2 linked regions of the Coturnix japonica genome follow. The protein of the gene in region 1 purifies or fractionates together with the protein of each later gene. This does not show direct contact. Links are inferred from orthologs where the notes say so. Each region holds a gene or a part of one and is shown on either strand. Other genes may lie near its edges.

Evidence for each region.
Region 2: the proteins of EXOC5 (region 1) and EXOC2 fractionate together in Homo sapiens (co-fractionation; 4 studies listed by BioGRID and IntAct, with this or other methods). This does not show direct contact. The link is inferred for Coturnix japonica from reciprocal best matches to the Homo sapiens genes EXOC5 and EXOC2.

What each region holds. Positions count from the first base shown.
Region 1 is NC_029520.1:50,523,918-50,531,968, forward strand, and holds part of EXOC5 (exocyst complex component 5), read left to right. Parts: intron 1-1,782; coding exon 1,783-1,891; intron 1,892-2,167; coding exon 2,168-2,288; intron 2,289-3,022; coding exon 3,023-3,109; intron 3,110-4,806; coding exon 4,807-4,915; intron 4,916-5,450; coding exon 5,451-5,666; intron 5,667-6,472; coding exon 6,473-6,661; 3' UTR 6,662-8,051. UniProt on the Homo sapiens protein: Component of the exocyst complex involved in the docking of exocytic vesicles with fusion sites on the plasma membrane.
Region 2 is NC_029517.1:62,006,385-62,014,677, forward strand, and holds part of EXOC2 (exocyst complex component 2), read left to right. Parts: intron 1-2,361; coding exon 2,362-2,480; intron 2,481-8,293. UniProt on the Homo sapiens protein: Component of the exocyst complex involved in the docking of exocytic vesicles with fusion sites on the plasma membrane.

The sequences.
Region 1 (8,051 bases):
TTCCTTCTAACTGAATCACCTGTTTTATTGCCCGTAACCTACATTTTCATACTCAAGTGTAAGTGAAAACCCATGAAATTGAATTGGATACTTTAGTAAATTTCTAGGGAATATTTCATAGCTGAACACAGCTATTCCTAACAATAGTTTAGATACCTCTGACATTCTAAATTAGCGTAATGTAGAAGAGGTTCTAACCTTCTTTATTCAGAAACTTTAATATTCAACATTGTGAGAGGGCGGCAGGCATGTAACAAAATATAGGTACAGCATGGTATTACCTGTACATGTAGGGATGACCACATTCTTAGTGGTGGAAGTCAGTGAATGCAGGTAGATCATCTTTTCCTTTTTCTCAGTGTGGTTGGTGCTAGGAACTTGTTAAAATCATAGTACAAACTTCCTATTTTGCATACTTTTTTTCCCCCCCTCTGTTAGGGTCAGGTTTTTCTTGTTCTAAAACCAATTGCATATGTTACATTGGGAAAACCAGTTGAGTGCAAAATGGATCTTCGGAAATAAGGAGACTTTCAGAATTACAGGCACATTAAAAACCTTTTGTGTCGCCATATGCTGCTGAGATTGTGTTTGTGATCAGAGCAATTCACTTTGCAAAGGAACAGTTAAGTACTGGCCCATTCATGCCCCATCCGTGGAGCTGTTCATGACCAAGTTGGATGGGGCTGTGGGCAGCCTGGTCTGGTATTAAACATGGAGGTTGGTGGCCCTGCCTGTGGTAAAGGGGTTGGAGCTTCATGATCCTTGTGGTCCTTTCCAGCCTGGGCCATTCTATGACTGGCTAGCAAACTGGAATACTTCATTGTATGACAGATGCACACTGGTATGTTATGTGTCCCAACCATGACTGATTTAGGAGAACAAGGCTGATGGTTCCTACCTAACCATGTATTGAAACATTTCTGTGCTTGGAAATGTCCCTAACAGGGTAGGGTTTTTTGTTTATTTTTTAGGTATCCTGTGGAAATCTCTTGGAGTGTTCTTGTGCAAATTGACCTTAATTGCAATATTAATCATACTCCAATCTTCTGAAAGCCTCCACTTAATTCCTTGAAAACCAAAGCTCTATTTTTTTGCATGCAAAAGCCCTGTCATGTTTTTCTTTAGAAAATGGATTTGCAGACAAGTTGCTGCCCCAAATCCTGTGTTGCTTCTAGTTCATGAAGGTAGAGATGCTCTGTGTACATGGGGGCACTTCACTTAATAAAATTTTCATGCTCTGTTGGCTCCAGCTGAACTGTGATAAATGTCACCGCAGTTCAGACTGTATTGTTTTTTTTCTGAGGCACTGAGACAGTGCTAGAACAGCTGCACTGTCTCTAGCTGTGGTCAATGGCAAAAACTCAGTGAAAAAAGGCAGGGTTGTATTGAGTCACCTTTACCAGGTACCTCATTTCAGTCCTGAGCAGTGTGTGGTTTTGGTGATTACAGAAATCACAGCTGGATGTTTGTGTTTTTACAACTGTATTAATGCCTTCCTTCATTTATTATCACTGCCATTATTAGAAGCTCTGTATATTTTTGCTTTCCGTTGCACCCTGCAGCATATTGTCTTCATTTTACCTGTTAGTACCAAAGAGTTTGTTGATACTAAAGGCTGTTCCTCAATAGTTCCCTGTGCGGATGCTTTTAATTTAAAAAGAAATTCCAGTTTTTCTGAAATACTTGTTACACTTTAAGCTTATCCTCTACTCGATATTGGGTAAACTTTCAAATATATGTAAAACTGACCTTTAGAATGAAAGTTCTTCTTTTTCTTTTAAGCTCTCTGATCCATCTGACTTACCGAAGAACGCCTTCAGGATTTTTTCTATGCTTGTAGAGTTCTTATGCACTGAACACATTGATTATGCATTAGAAACAGGCCTTGCTGGTGAGTATAATATTTTTTTGAGCACTTCATCTCACTGGCCTTTTTGTGGAGATCATCTTTGCAGGTCCTTTGCAGAGCCTTATTGATTGGTCATGTTCAAAATGTATTGGTTAAGTGAAACCTATGAGAAGTATTCTGTACATGGCACCACGGTGAACGTTTCCAACATTTAGCATGTGATTTTAGCACTCGTGGCAAAATCTGCATATTTAAAATATCATTCTAATTAAAGAACTGTGTATCGTTATGGTATTAATGAATCCTTCTTTCCTTTAGGCATTCCCTCCTCTGATTCAAAGAACGCAAATCTTTATTTCTTGGATGTTGTCCACCAGGCCAATACTATTTTCCATTTGTTTGACAAACAGTTCAATGATCATTTGATGCCATTAATCAGGTACTTTTATTTTGATCTGCATTTCCACGGTGAATGGTAATTTTTGGTGAACAGAGCAGGCTTTTTTTCCTTTCCTCATCTCTGTTAAGAAGAGTTTATTCTTGGAGTGGTTCAGCTTGATGTTGCAGGAAGATGAAATACTCTCATGGGGGGGAGGAGGAAGGGAAGTTACACTTGGAATCATAGAATTACCCAGGTTGGAAAAGACCTTGAAGATCATCAAGTCCAACCTCAGCCTAACCAGAGATAGCTTAGATAACCAAGGGGGGAGAGGCATTGAGAATACTGATAGGCATGAGGGACAAGTTGCTTTGCAGAGATCTTGCTGCTGCATTTTACTGGGCTAGTGGTGGTTTTATGGCTGCATCTTGGAGTGAGCTGGAGATGTCAGGGATGCAGAGATTGCAGAGTCTCTGCAGGGGAAGAAGCTGGCCATGCCATGGAGCAACATGTGAATTACATGGACATGTTACGAGCTGCTGGTTGGATATGCTCAAGGTAGAGCACACTGATGTGTTGTGAATCAGTTCCGTGCCAGTCAGTGCTCCACAAATTCTGCTTGGGGTCACACGGCTATGGATGTGTTGATCTGAAGCCAGCTAACTCCACCTAAATTAGTCCTTTTCTGTGGAACAGGAAATATTCACACATCCCTGATTTAAGAAGCAGTCCCAGCAAACAGATTTGTTTTGGTACTCTGACCCTTTCTCACATAACTCCTTATGCTGTTGCAGTTCGTCTCCTAAACTATCTGAATGCCTTCAGAAGAAAAAGGATATCATAGAACAAATGGAAGTGAAGCTGGATATGGGCATTGATCGGCAAGTAGAGATTTAAACTTTATTAACCACCAATTCTTTTAAAACTCCTTTGGGATCTATTATTTGGTTCCCTTTTCTGGATTAAATCTTTCTGAACACAAAGTTATTTCTTTTTTCTACGTTATTCTATGCACGAAACTTAGATTTTGTTTGTTTAGAGGGTCATATTTATGTGGCAGTTTTCTGACCTTACCTAAGAAAGACGGTAGTAAATAATTCTGTTATGTTGAGAGTGCACTCATTCTGTTTTACCTTACTGTCACTCCACACTGGAAAGGGCTGAGAGCAGCACTGTATGGGAAAAGTAGGCATTGTATTTGTGTCCTATAGGGTGATTCCTGTGGAGATAGGAGAGAGATTGTATGTATTTCCAGAATGCTCTGCAAGTTGTTTCTTAAAGGCATTTTCTGCAGGTGCAGAAAGAATAGTGGGGATGGAACATATGTGTGTAACGATTGAGATTTTAGCTGTTCCTACTGGAACAGGCTTAAATGCAAAGCTTGAAATACTTGAACCACAGTGACCATAAGCTTGGTTCTAGACAGGCATGGGTCAGTCCAAACGTTAGAATAGTTTATAACTGTGTCAAGCAAATAATGTCTTAAAAGTGGTAGTAAGACTTAGGAGAACAAGTCCCTGTTGGAAAACAGTGTGCTCAAAGGTTTGTGGATGGAGTCTTCATAAACACTGGCACTTTTACAGGTAAAGGAGAGGTTAGCTTTCAGATGAATGTTACATGTAAAATGTGTGTTCTTGCTTACATGCTGCTTTGTCGTACCCCTGCTGCTAAGAATTGATTGCCTTGCCGAAAGGAATGATCTAGTTTGAAAAATAAAGCAATTTCTAATGCTGAAATTGCTAATACAAGTAATTTCTAGAGTTAAAGGCATCAACACTGTGCAGTCTGAATGAGTCCTACAGGAGCTTCTGGAATGGTATTCACAAAAATTGCCTGCCTCTGCAGAAGTGATTTACGAGTCAACCAAAAGTAGCTCTAATGGCTTTCTGTCAGTTTGTATTCTGTGCAAACAGCCTCTTGGGAGTATTTATTGAAAACAGAAATTTAAGAGGCTGTAATTTGTTTGCACGTAGATCGTTGACTGTGGTACACCTGAAATGCAGATTTGAGTCTCTATGCATAGAAAGGGAGTTTTAAAGGATCCACTTACTGCCTTTTGGGACTTAAATATTCTTCCCCTGTCCTTCCTTTTATTTCACTTTACCAATGTTTTCTGATGCTTGCTGCTGAATAATGCACGGTGTTATCTAATTCTACTAAAATAAGCATTTGGAACTCTTCCTTTGTCTGTCTCATTCCCTCAGCAATGAAGGATGTTATCCAGTTCCACTGAAGAGCTGGAATTGAGTTGGTTACTTCACAGTTAATGTGTCCCCTTTAAGACCAACTGGCCAGCATGGTTGCTTGTTTGTTTTTTCCCTCCTACTGTTTTTCTTAATGGCTTTCTTAAAATCAAGCTTGTCTTTTTTAGAGAATTGCACTGTAACTTCAATCCCTCGTTTTCCATGTTTGCCATTGGTATATATTCTATAGATGAAATGTTAAGCAGTGAGGTTTTTTCCTCGTTGTTATATGCTACATGCTTTTGTATAAGGCCACTTTACAATATGTAAATATAAAAATCAAGGAAATGAGAACATTCCCTTCAAAACCTTGAGTGTTCTTTGTAACTTTACAGGACATTGAATTGTATGATTGGACAGATGAAGCACATCTTGGCTGCAGAGCAGAAAAAGACAGATTTTAAGCCAGAGGATGAAAACAACGTTTTGATTCAGTATACTAACGTAAGTAAATTAAGTTCCAGCTCATCAGTATAGCTTGAAATGCACTTGATTGATATCAAACACAAAGGAGCAAAATAGAGAGAAGTAGAGAACAAACTGTTGTTAATGGGGGGAATATATCTGAATATATGAAGCTGGGTGAAAATGGGAAGAGTGGAGCAGTTGGTTGTAGAGGCTGGTAGTGTGTGGGAAGAGTGAAGATGGCTGTTAAATTGGGTTTACAACTACAGCTGCCGAGGTTTTAGTTGTCTTGATTGTCCCCCCCTTTGTTAATTGTTGCTTAAATTAACAGTGCAGACTAATCTGAACTGACACAAAGTTTAATTTGGTGGAATGTTGTCTTGCATCCTTCTTTTTTATGCATACTTGTGTCTCTGGCAAGTGAAAACCTGTTGGAATTATTAACTGGAAGGTAACAGATGATGTTGCACTGTAGGAATTTTAAAGAACTTACTAATTAATGTTCAGCTTACATAGAAGGCACTTAATGAGAACAGGTTTCTTGATTATAATTTAAATTATTCTTTTTCCTAAGGCTTGTGTTAAAGTCTGCAGCTATGTTAGAAAACAGGTGGAAAAGATTCGGAAGTCTATGGATGGTAAGAACGTGGACACGGTTTTGATGGAGCTTGGAGTTCGTTTCCATCGACTCATCTACGAACACCTGCAGCAATATTCCTACAGCTGCATGGGTGGCATGTTAGCTATTTGTGACGTGGCTGAGTACAGAAAGTGTGCCAAAGACTTCAAGGTAAGTCATGTGTATGTTGGTGATGTACAGCCATGATGGTTGGTTAGATGATATTTTACCATTTCTTCTGAGAAGTTTTCGTTAAAATAATCTTTCTGTTTGAACATCAGCATTTCATATGCTGATGTTATATGTGCTGTTAACTGTGCTAGTAGTACTTTATCACTTCTTAAAGAGCAGTCTCCTAATACCATTTTGTTGCTTGCAGACTATATATGTATATACACTGAGGAAGCATTTAGTCTATTCTAGATATAGTTTTGTATTGAAACAAAAGCTAAGATTTGCTTTCTGGCCAAGACCTGTGATTCTCTTGCTTCAAGTGCTTTGTTTTTTCCCAATGACTATTATCAAAATTACCACCTTTTTTTATTGCATGTGTGTTGGTATCAATGAGTTTTTTTCTGGACTAGTCTTAAAAACAAACAAACAAACCATCATCCCTCCCTTAGTTTTCTCACTGATGTCTTGAGGAAAGAAATCAAAAGCATCTTTGTAGCCTTCAGTTTGTGTCTTTGTAAGCAGCTCAATAGATTTTTAAGTCGCAGTATAGATTTGTACTTAAAACAACATATGCATACAGTGAGAAATAGCAAGCTAGCTTAGTTATTTTGTAATTGTGCTTGGGTTTTTTTTTGCTATCATTCCACGTGCCTCTATATATTTATACACAGAATGACTGAGATGTATTCTCTATAGGGGAGATGTCTTTTGAGAATCTTGATGGATGTTGTGTTTTAAGACCTAGGTCAGTTTTTACTCTTAATACCTCTTTTTTTTCTTTCTTTTTCTTTTCTTAACCACAGATTGCGCTGGTGTTGCAGCTCTTTGATACTTTGCATGCACTTTGCAATCTTCTGGTTGTAGCCCCGGATAACTTAAAGCAAGTTTGCTCGGGTGAACAACTTGCTAATCTGGACAAGAACATCCTTCACTCCTTTGTTCAGCTGCGTGTTGATTATAGGTCTGCACGTCTTGCTCGTCACTTCAGCTGAGAGCACAGGAGAAAATGTACCTATGGGCAGGCCTCAGAAAGCACAGGGAATGATTTCTTACCAAACCACAGCTGTAACTTTTGTGGAATAATGACTGTTCAGAATCAAACAGCCATATTTAGACATGTAGAATGCTAGCAGGTAAAAATCGGAATGATGTGTTAGCTAAAGTTCTCCTAGTGATGAATTTTTGCAGAACTACTCGCTACTGATTCTTTTTTTTATTGGACATGTTGGTGTGGGAAAGCAAGTGGCACATGGAAAGTATCATAGTCTTCAATATTGAATCATCAGATACCATTTGTTGGAGTTGAACTACAGAGCGTAGCGTAGGTAATGGATTACATAGAATAGACCAGTGTAACAACATCCTCCATCAATTTTAATGACTTAGACTTCAGCACAGCTAATCATAATCAAATTATCTTTGATTGGTGTTTCTGAATCATTTCTTTCATTTTAAAACGTTATCCTGCTCAATGTAATTTCTTGCTCTAATTAATTAGTTGGGAATTTCTTTGAGATACAGAAGTAAAAGGAACAGTATCCCACAAAGATGTAATTTATTCATTGTGTAGCATTCTAAACATAACTAATATTGTGGAAAGATTTTCTTTTTCGGTTCTTTGGTTTTGGGGGGGTTTTGCACCTAACAGTCAAGGGCCCACTGAAAAGTATTGGCGTTGTATGACCTGACATTCTTGTTTCTCTCTGTTTGGTATTGGAACACTGAATTTGATAGATGCTCCTGAAGTAAGTGCAGCTGCCTTGTCTAGGCTTTGTCACTACAAGGTGAAGGTGCCTGTGGTTGGATTAATACAACTTTTTCCTGTCTCTCGTTTTGTATATATAAATGAATTCAGATTATAACAAGTGAAAGGATAAAAACGTAGCCCAAGTGTTCATTTATCTACGGGAGGAATGGACTGCAGCACTGGTGAAAACCTAAGGGTGAAATGTACTGTGCTGATGATAACTGATCCTTGGTGCCTGAGCAATATGAAATGTCGAAGCGTGCAAAAGCTTCTCTTCCACTGCTCGTAATTTTAACACTGGGGACAGACTACTTCTGCATCAGTTCTACTACAGCGTATTTATTCAAGGTGCTTCCGAGATGGACCCGTTGTGTGCAAAGAGAGAATTGAAGCACTGGTGATTTGAAATCCAGGGTAGCTTTTCCTCAAGCAGTTGAAAACTGTTGTAAATAGATCTTTGTTCAGAACAGACTCATGGAAAACAGGTTGGAACTGCTTTGGATCGTGTCTTCAATCTGACTCACATCGTACCCTAACAGATCACCTGTAACACTGTTCTTTCTACTGTGGGCTCAGCGTGCATTATGAAAACCTTTCTCTCCCATCTTCAGAGCAGCAATTCTGTAGGTTTACTT
Region 2 (8,293 bases), on another chromosome or scaffold:
TGGATTGATGTTTGATTGTTTATGGAGTGATCGAGATTGTAATTTTTAAAAATCATAAAGGTATGTTCATTTCTTCTTCTAAATCATCTCATTGTAAGCTATGTATGAAATGATCCTTTGTAAGATGCAGATCTCAAAATAGACTGCATATTAACTTGTGCTCCATTTCAGCGTGGTGTTAAAAATGCATCATTTTGAGTCAGATAATAGAAAGTTTTTAATCCAGAATTGAGTTTAAATTTGTTTTTGACTCTTTTACTATTCATTCTAAATAATGAATGTCCTTTACATTTCATGAACATTTACCATTTTTCTACTTTTCATTAAAATTCCTATATTTGCTCTCATTCTGTAAGGTTATGTCCAAGCCAATGGTAGGATTACTAACATGAGTTGCTCGGACCTTATCCTAACAGTAGACCTTAGCCTTCTTTACAATCCTTGGGAACAGAATTTAGAATGCTCTGAAACATTTGACGACGTTACTAGCAAGCTTTTGAGCCCTGAGTGTTGGTAGGACTCCCAGTGTGGCTTGATATTCTCAGTGTTTTTTTTCCACTTATCTTAAAAGTTGAAGACCGAATGCAATATGCAGGTAGCATTCTTAGAAATCTGACACCTGTGTGAGGTCTTTAATGTTTTTTTGTGTTCACCCAGCCCAGTTTCACAGGCAGGGAATGCTGGAGTCTTCTGCCCTTTTACTTTGTTAGTTTATGAGGACAGTGACCAGTGTGCATTTAGTCCTTCTCATTCTTCTAGGTGCCGTGTAAATATTGCATATTTGTTAGAGTTACATTTTAAGATGAGGAGTGTTAAACATTTTGTGTGTCTTGAAAAAGCTACTGTTTCTTTCTTTCTATTTTAGTCTTGAAAAACCTTAAAAATAACTTTTTTGTTTTTATACTTTTAAGGTAATGTTTAACATATCGCTGAACAAGCAAGAAGATGCATTATTTCCAGTGCTAGTGATATATGCGTATTTATTTATTTATTTATTTATTTATTAAATATTGTGTCTAAACAATGACTAAAGTCCCCCTAAATGTTAAGGAAAGACATGAGCTCATAGTTTATAAATACCACCCTGTCAAAATGGTTGGTTGTGTAATGTTCTCATCTATCCCACCAATTGTCCTTTGACAGTTCATTTTGTTCATGAAAGTACTGCAGACAAGGAAGACGAATTTTTGCAATGCATTCGTAATTAACCTTAGGTGTTATTATAGTAACATCACTTCTGTGAAGGAGTTAAAACGCTCACTGCACTGCTTAAGAGAAGTTAGTGTATTTCATCTTGAGCATCTTGCATTTTTGAATTTGTCCTGTGTTTTTAATGCAGAATATAATGGAGATGGTGGTGGTATGGCAATCCCACCAATACTCTGTAATATTTGTTGCCATATGACAGAGGGCAACAGAGAGGCAGTGGACACAAAAGCATGAAACAAAGGTGTGCCATTAAATTCCTCCATGTGAGGAAAAAATGGCACCCACTGACATTCATTGGTGTTCCTCAGCTTTTCTGGGGAGCAAATAGTAGATGTGAGTACAGTGAGGCAGTGGGTGATGCATTTCAGCAGTGGTGACAGTGAGTTGCTTCCACTGGGACAGATATTTGAGAGCACAGCATGAAGGCACATGTTCATTACTGGTGAAAATACAGAAGTAATGGTGGTGACTGTGTTGAAAAATAGTGTTTTGTAGCTGAGAATTTGCTCTTCGTAGCAGTTGTAGTTTCCATGGAAATAAACAGGAGAGGCATTACTTTTGGAGCAACCTGTGTTTGTGAGTGTATATATATATACATATAAATAAGATGCAGTCCCACAGTGTGCGCACAACCTAATGGAAAATAAAAAACAACAACCAGGGGCTTAGTTTATATTTGCCTATGCATGTCCATGGTTGGATTAATGAGCCACCAAAAATTAGTTCCTTCTGTACTTTCCTGTTCCAATTGATACGTGCAAAGTGGGGAGCAAAGTACCATATTTTATATGCTTGAGATGTCATCAGAGGTTTCAAGTGAAACATGAAATACTGATCTGCAACTTTGACAGATAAAAATCTTGGTTACCAGAGAACACTTCTAGAGGCACAACAGAAAATACGTACCTAATCTGATTTTCAGTGTATGTGCTTTTGTATATTATTATAAGGGTTTTTTAGTAGAATTTTGCTTCACTAAATTAGGAAGTGAGAATGCAAAGTTTGCATTTGCATTGGGTACAAGTTCTTGAATTTTTAAAATTATACATCTCTGTGTATATGTGTGTATAAATACATATGAAGATATTTCTGTTTTAATGAGGCCTTTAATGTGTCAAGTCAGAGCTGTGATTTTTGGACTGGATTTTGCAGATATCTTTCTGATCTTCATGCGCCTGGGGACCCTGCTTGGCAGTGCATCGGTGCTCAGCATCAGTGGATTCTACAGCTCATGCACAACTGTAAGGAGAGCTATGTTAAAGAGCAAAAAGGCAAGGATATGTTTTTGTTACTTATATGTATTTGACACTTAGGAATTTGGCATTGCCTTTTCTTTGACAAGTTTTAGTGTGTGAATGATGCTTTTGGTTGTTGTTGTTCTCTGCTTAATTTTGATAGCTTTTCACAAAGCTAAATATTGAACTATATATTTTTTTCTTTATTATAAAAGGAAAGTATCTGTTAGAATTTTTTTTATTTTTTTATTTTTTAACTTAGAACTTGTAAGCTTCTTAAATGGGAAAAGCATTAAATTTCAGTCGTATATTTGAGGTTTACAGTCCTCCAGAAATAGTCCTCCATCCACTATCTAGAAATAGTACTAGAAAGTCACGTTAAATCCACCATTTATATTCTTCTTCGTACAGTATACTAGTAGTGTATTGTTATGAAGGACATCAAAGTACCATGTGATAAAGTCTAATTTCTTGACATGCAGTAAATGATAACACAGGGTTCTCTTACTCTTTTTTGCCAGTGCAGTTTCAAAACTGATTCTTTTTGTTCAAACACAGACCTGTGAGATTATCTTAAGTATTCAGTTTGTCTATTTTACATTAAGAGCTATATGAATATTTAGCTGTATTCTGTCTAGTTCTGCCAGTGTTGTTCCTTGAAGAAATGCACCCTCATAGATGCTTCAAAGGTGTGGCAGCAATTGAGCTACCAGTCATAATCCATCACATCTTTGTATTTTCAAAAGGGAATTGGCAGGAAACTACAGACCTGGTGTTTCTAGGAGTTAAATCTATAACCTGGATTAGAAATTGAAAATACTGTGTTGTTTCTCAAGTAGTCTTAACAAGTTTACTGATTTTCCTAAAATGAGTAGTAATTCCCGTGTTTAGTTTTGTTGCTGTTTATCCCAAGCCAACTAAGATGTTCTCTTCTGAGAAGCACAGTAATTTTTCTTAGTCAGAGCTGTGGCAGATAAGTGCTGTGAAATTAATTGCTGCAAGATTCTCGCATTTTGTTCTTCAGCAGAGATTACAACTTCAGGTATAGGGTTCGCAGTGTGCTTAATGTGACAGTGATGTCAGTAAGTTGTAGCTTGAAGTATACATGGACTTTTTTTTTTGCTACAACACGTTATTGAGTGCTATGGGACCAGCTGGAATGCGAGGCTGATTTCTTGTACTCATAGTCAAAATCCAGAACATTTCCAAAACCTCACCATCTCTCATCCTTCCCAAAAACCTGAGAGACCCGACCCTGCAGTATATATCCGTGAAGGGCAAAATTCACTAGTGAAAATGGCCAATATTAATGATTCTAAACTATCTTTTTCTCCTTTCAGTTGCAAAACATTATATACCAATCCCTTAGCTTCTTATCTAAGAGAAAAAATAGGGGCACAAAGATGTTAAATACTTGTGACTTCTTTGTTGTAGTAGTCTATATAATATTGATGTGCATGGTCCAGTAATTAATCAAAAATGGACCTAAATTCCACGGCTTGTCTTGAAAATCTTAACCTTTTTGGTGTTTTTCTTGCAACAATTCTGCTTACCTCAGCCTTAATATCAAAGGAACTTATTATGTTAGCAGCTTTGTTTGGCTCACAGATGGAGAAATTTGCATAACTTGTCTGCCCAGTAAATGCATGTATGAATAGTTAATATTTGCATGAAAAAAAAAATGCTAATATAGTATGACTTTTATTTTAAAAAGCTAGTATCATTTAAATAGTTTTCTTTCATCCTTTTCTATGGTCCTTAGTTTTTGCGCACATTATATTGATCCTGATTCATAGTATTCCCCATTCAATATCAGCTTGAGCAAAGGAAAGTTGCTAAACTCAGTTTCTTCTTTCCACGGATCTTTAATTTTAACATACACCAGAGGGGAGAAGGCAAAGAGGAAACTTGGAAGAGTTGGTATTAACTGCCAAGCAGAACAGTGCTGACTGTGATCTGAGACATGGAATTTATTTTCATCTACTTTCACTGATGCATAATTTTCTAGAAGGAAAAGAGTGTTTTTTTTCGCTCAGATATCAAATTGGTTTTGCATGACTTCAAGGACTCAAATCAACTTGAAATCAGAAATAGGTTTTATACATTCATAAACTCAGAAGTTATTTTTATAACATAACAGTAGTAAATTTTCAGACTAGTTTCCTTAAAATATGCTTCCAGAAAAGGTTTTGAACATGAAGTATTTGGAGGAGGAGGTGGGTCATAATGTTGACAGCCTCTTGACAAATGCATTAGATATTTTCCTAGGTTTCTCTCCTCAGTACGGATAATATCCTTTGTTTCTAGCAGATGGTGTCTGCTAGAGTATGTGAATAGTCCCACCTTGAATGTACCAACATTTGTGGCTGATATTAGCAGTTTTTCTGTTGGTTCAAGCTAACTGAATCAAAGCTCTTCAGTGGAGTAACAAATTGCATACAAATGCATAAATAGATACTTGTGTTTTATTTTTCAACTTTCTGTTGAGTTTGTGCCAAATAATTTTGCTGCTGACTTAATAGTTTTGGAAACACACTGGAGCTGTAAGTTGTTATACATGATGAATTTTACTACCTGAAATGGATTTGGAATTAGACAAGAAACTTTGCTTTTCTTATCTGGAGAAGTCTTCTATTAACATTCTTGGAGCAGAGTTTGGTAGCTAACTGTGAATCTCCAAACGTTCTCAAAGAATTTGTGGGTCATGATTCGGGAAAGGGTGGCTATCATTGTAATTATTTCCGAAACAGGCTAAAAAACAAAACCAAATGCATTCTAAAGAGTACTTAGTCCAAATATACCCATTGATAACAAACTAACAGTGCATTCCAAGTTGTTTACGCAGTACCAGGAGGATGACCATTGAGACTTAACGCTTAGTTTTTTCATACAGAGAAATAGGATCTACTCCTATCTTCGCTAAGAGGTTGCGTCAATGTATTGTCTTGTCTGGGCCACTAGTAATGACAGTCAAGACAAAGCTCCAGTATTGACAAGAAGTAAATGTACTTTTCTGTGTGGATTCATTACCTTTGTCTAATGAGTGCCCCTTTGTAAATGGCATTTTTTTAAATTACGATTGTGATTTCCTGAAGCAATAACAGAAACCATATAAATCTGATTGCTCTCTGCTATTGCTGCCTGCTGGAAGGTTCTGAGGTAGATAAAGCTGGTTTGCTGCTTTTACTTCATATACAGTTATTTGTTAAGAAGATACAGATGAGACTAAAACAAGGAAAATGAATACTTCTGGTGGCTACAAATATAAAATTTAACATAGAGAACCAATATACTCGAAGTGGTATTTCTAGTATGTCTAGCAAGAGGTACGTGGATGACAAACTGAATTGTGCTGATGATATTTTGTGCCTTTTTTTGGCTAAATCCTGAGTTACTTCTTCTGAGCTTTGAACTAAGACAGGGAGAAGCCTGAGGACTTTCAGACCTGGTATCTGGATACAAAACAGTTTCCTTCAATTAAAAAATTGTTATATTTGTAATTTTTAACTTTATTTGGCAATTCCCCTAGTTTTGGGGCATAATTTTAGATCTTTAGTATGGTCTTCAGCTTTTCAGACTTGTTGGAGTACAGGAAACCTGGAGGATATAATAATGTAAAATGGCATGAAAATAGATGTAAATATATGAGGTTTAGTTGAAAATCTGCCTGGGGCACTAGGCAGCTAGCCAAAATGAATCAAGCAATGAGATTCATACTGTGAGTACCAGAAAAAGAAGCTATGGAGATTGGACCGTTTCCTGTGTGGCCAATGGTTACTGCTTAGCCTTCAGTATTGGCTGGACAGGTTTCATGATCATCTAAGCTAAAATGGATAGGGACAGTTATCTTCAAACTGACTGAAAGCATCTTCTAACTGGTCTTTTTGTGATATGTGTAATTTTAGAGTATATAAGCTGTTAATACCCTTAAGAAACCAAACCTGCGCGTGGAAACACTAAGAAAGTGGTAGCGTGGTCTTTCTACTGCCCTTCAGTCTGCAAAATATGTTTTCAGTGTTCCCAACATAGAGGTAGTTCTTGATACTCAAGTATAATAGTTCAGTCATAGTGATGGGGTTTTTGTTGTTCTAACTGTTGAAAGAAGGCAATTTTTGCAGCACTCAGAATATTGTACAAGCAAGTGCTTTTTGAGCCAGGATATAACAGCAGTTGTATGTAGCATGAAGAAGGGAGATGGATACTTAAACTGCAATGGTCTGTCTTCTGTGCCACACTGAGATTTTTTTCACCACGCAATGAATGATCTATCTTTGTTAGATCAGGCATACCAGCAAGGCTTGTGTCAAAAGGGCCTTTTCAATTTGTTATCCTAGCAGCTGGTTCTCTTCCATTGCCTTTGCTTACTGTACATCTGGAAGAAGACTTCTTGCAGCTGGGAACCATTTCATGTCTAAACTACATCCCCTGTCCGTAGCAGAAATACTCTTTTGACAGCAGATGTCAAGCAAACCCTTAATGGGTTATTAATTAAATTTTAAAAATTAATCAGTGCAAAATTTGACACCAGATTTGTTTTTGTCTTTTACCACCTGTGCCTGTAACTTTGTTGTTGTTTAGATTTTTGGTGGGGATTGGCGGGGGCGCACTGTTCTTTATCTAATACTTTAAATAGTAAGAACCTATCTCGTGCAGATATTAAATACTGTGATTAAAAAGAAGCACGTGTAGTTTTAAAGCAAAGCTGAAAAAGAAATGGTAACACTGAAAATAAAGGAATCTATCCTCTGGCCAGAATTTTACCTTGGTGTCTTCTTGAATCTTTTAAATCACTACACAGGAAATGAAGTAGAAGCAAACTGTTTTCAGAGTCACTGAAGATCATAGTGCAGATCTAAGTGAAGATCATTGGAGCTGGTGTAGTAAAATGACATCACTTTTGTTTATACACTGAGCTTGAAGTATTTGGCTTTTGCTTCAGTGTATTTTGGCCTGCGGGACTGACAGTAAGGTTTACCCTTAGGTTGTGAAATACTTAGAACGCCTCTGAAAATAACAGTATACCCAATTGCCCTTTTTTGTGGTGAACCAAAAAAATGGTTTCATTCTACAACTGGGATAACAAAGACTAGCCTTAAGATTTTAAAAATATTTTTTAAAATGTTCGTTTTTCAATGTGTTCCTGAAATGTTCTTTCCTTAAAATTGAAGCAATTTTATCCCCACACCTATTTCTTTGCTAGTAATGCTAGTAAGGAAAAGGTACTCAAGGAAAAGAAAATGCAGTCATTCATCTGCTGAGCAGGTTAATTTTTAGGTAATTTCTTCTGCTCGCCTAATTTCTTGCCCAGACAAATTGAAATTCTCTCTGCGGCGTCCTTGAAAGGAATCTTATCCTGGTTGTGTCAGTGCAGGCTCCAGGCACCGCGTGTTTGGTCAACAAGCAACAGTGGGTGGTCAGGCTGCAGCACAGGACAAGGGCCCGCTGTGCGCAGGAAAAAATGTTCAAAGGTGTTTAAGGGTGGTAAGGAAGTCGGCCGCCCTTCTGAGCGTCCGGAGGCTATAGATCAGCCTTCCCTCACCATTGTGGCCTGTGAGAAAATTCACTCCCAGATACATAATGGATGAAAGAATACAGTAACTGTATTCACCTGGTTGCACATCTGTAGAGGCTTTTTCTTTCCTAATCTTGCTCATATACATGCTGTGTATATACATTTAGTCTGTGTAATGACTGCTGTTTGACTTGCCGTGGAAAATCACGCTGACAAATGACTCGGCCCGAGGCTGGCCACTTGTTAACTTTTTTGTTTGTTGCTGCAAAAGATGCTTTGTGTAAACTTCTTGTAGTCAGTCAGTATCTTTTGCAAAAAGCCTTTTAAAAAGCTTCGG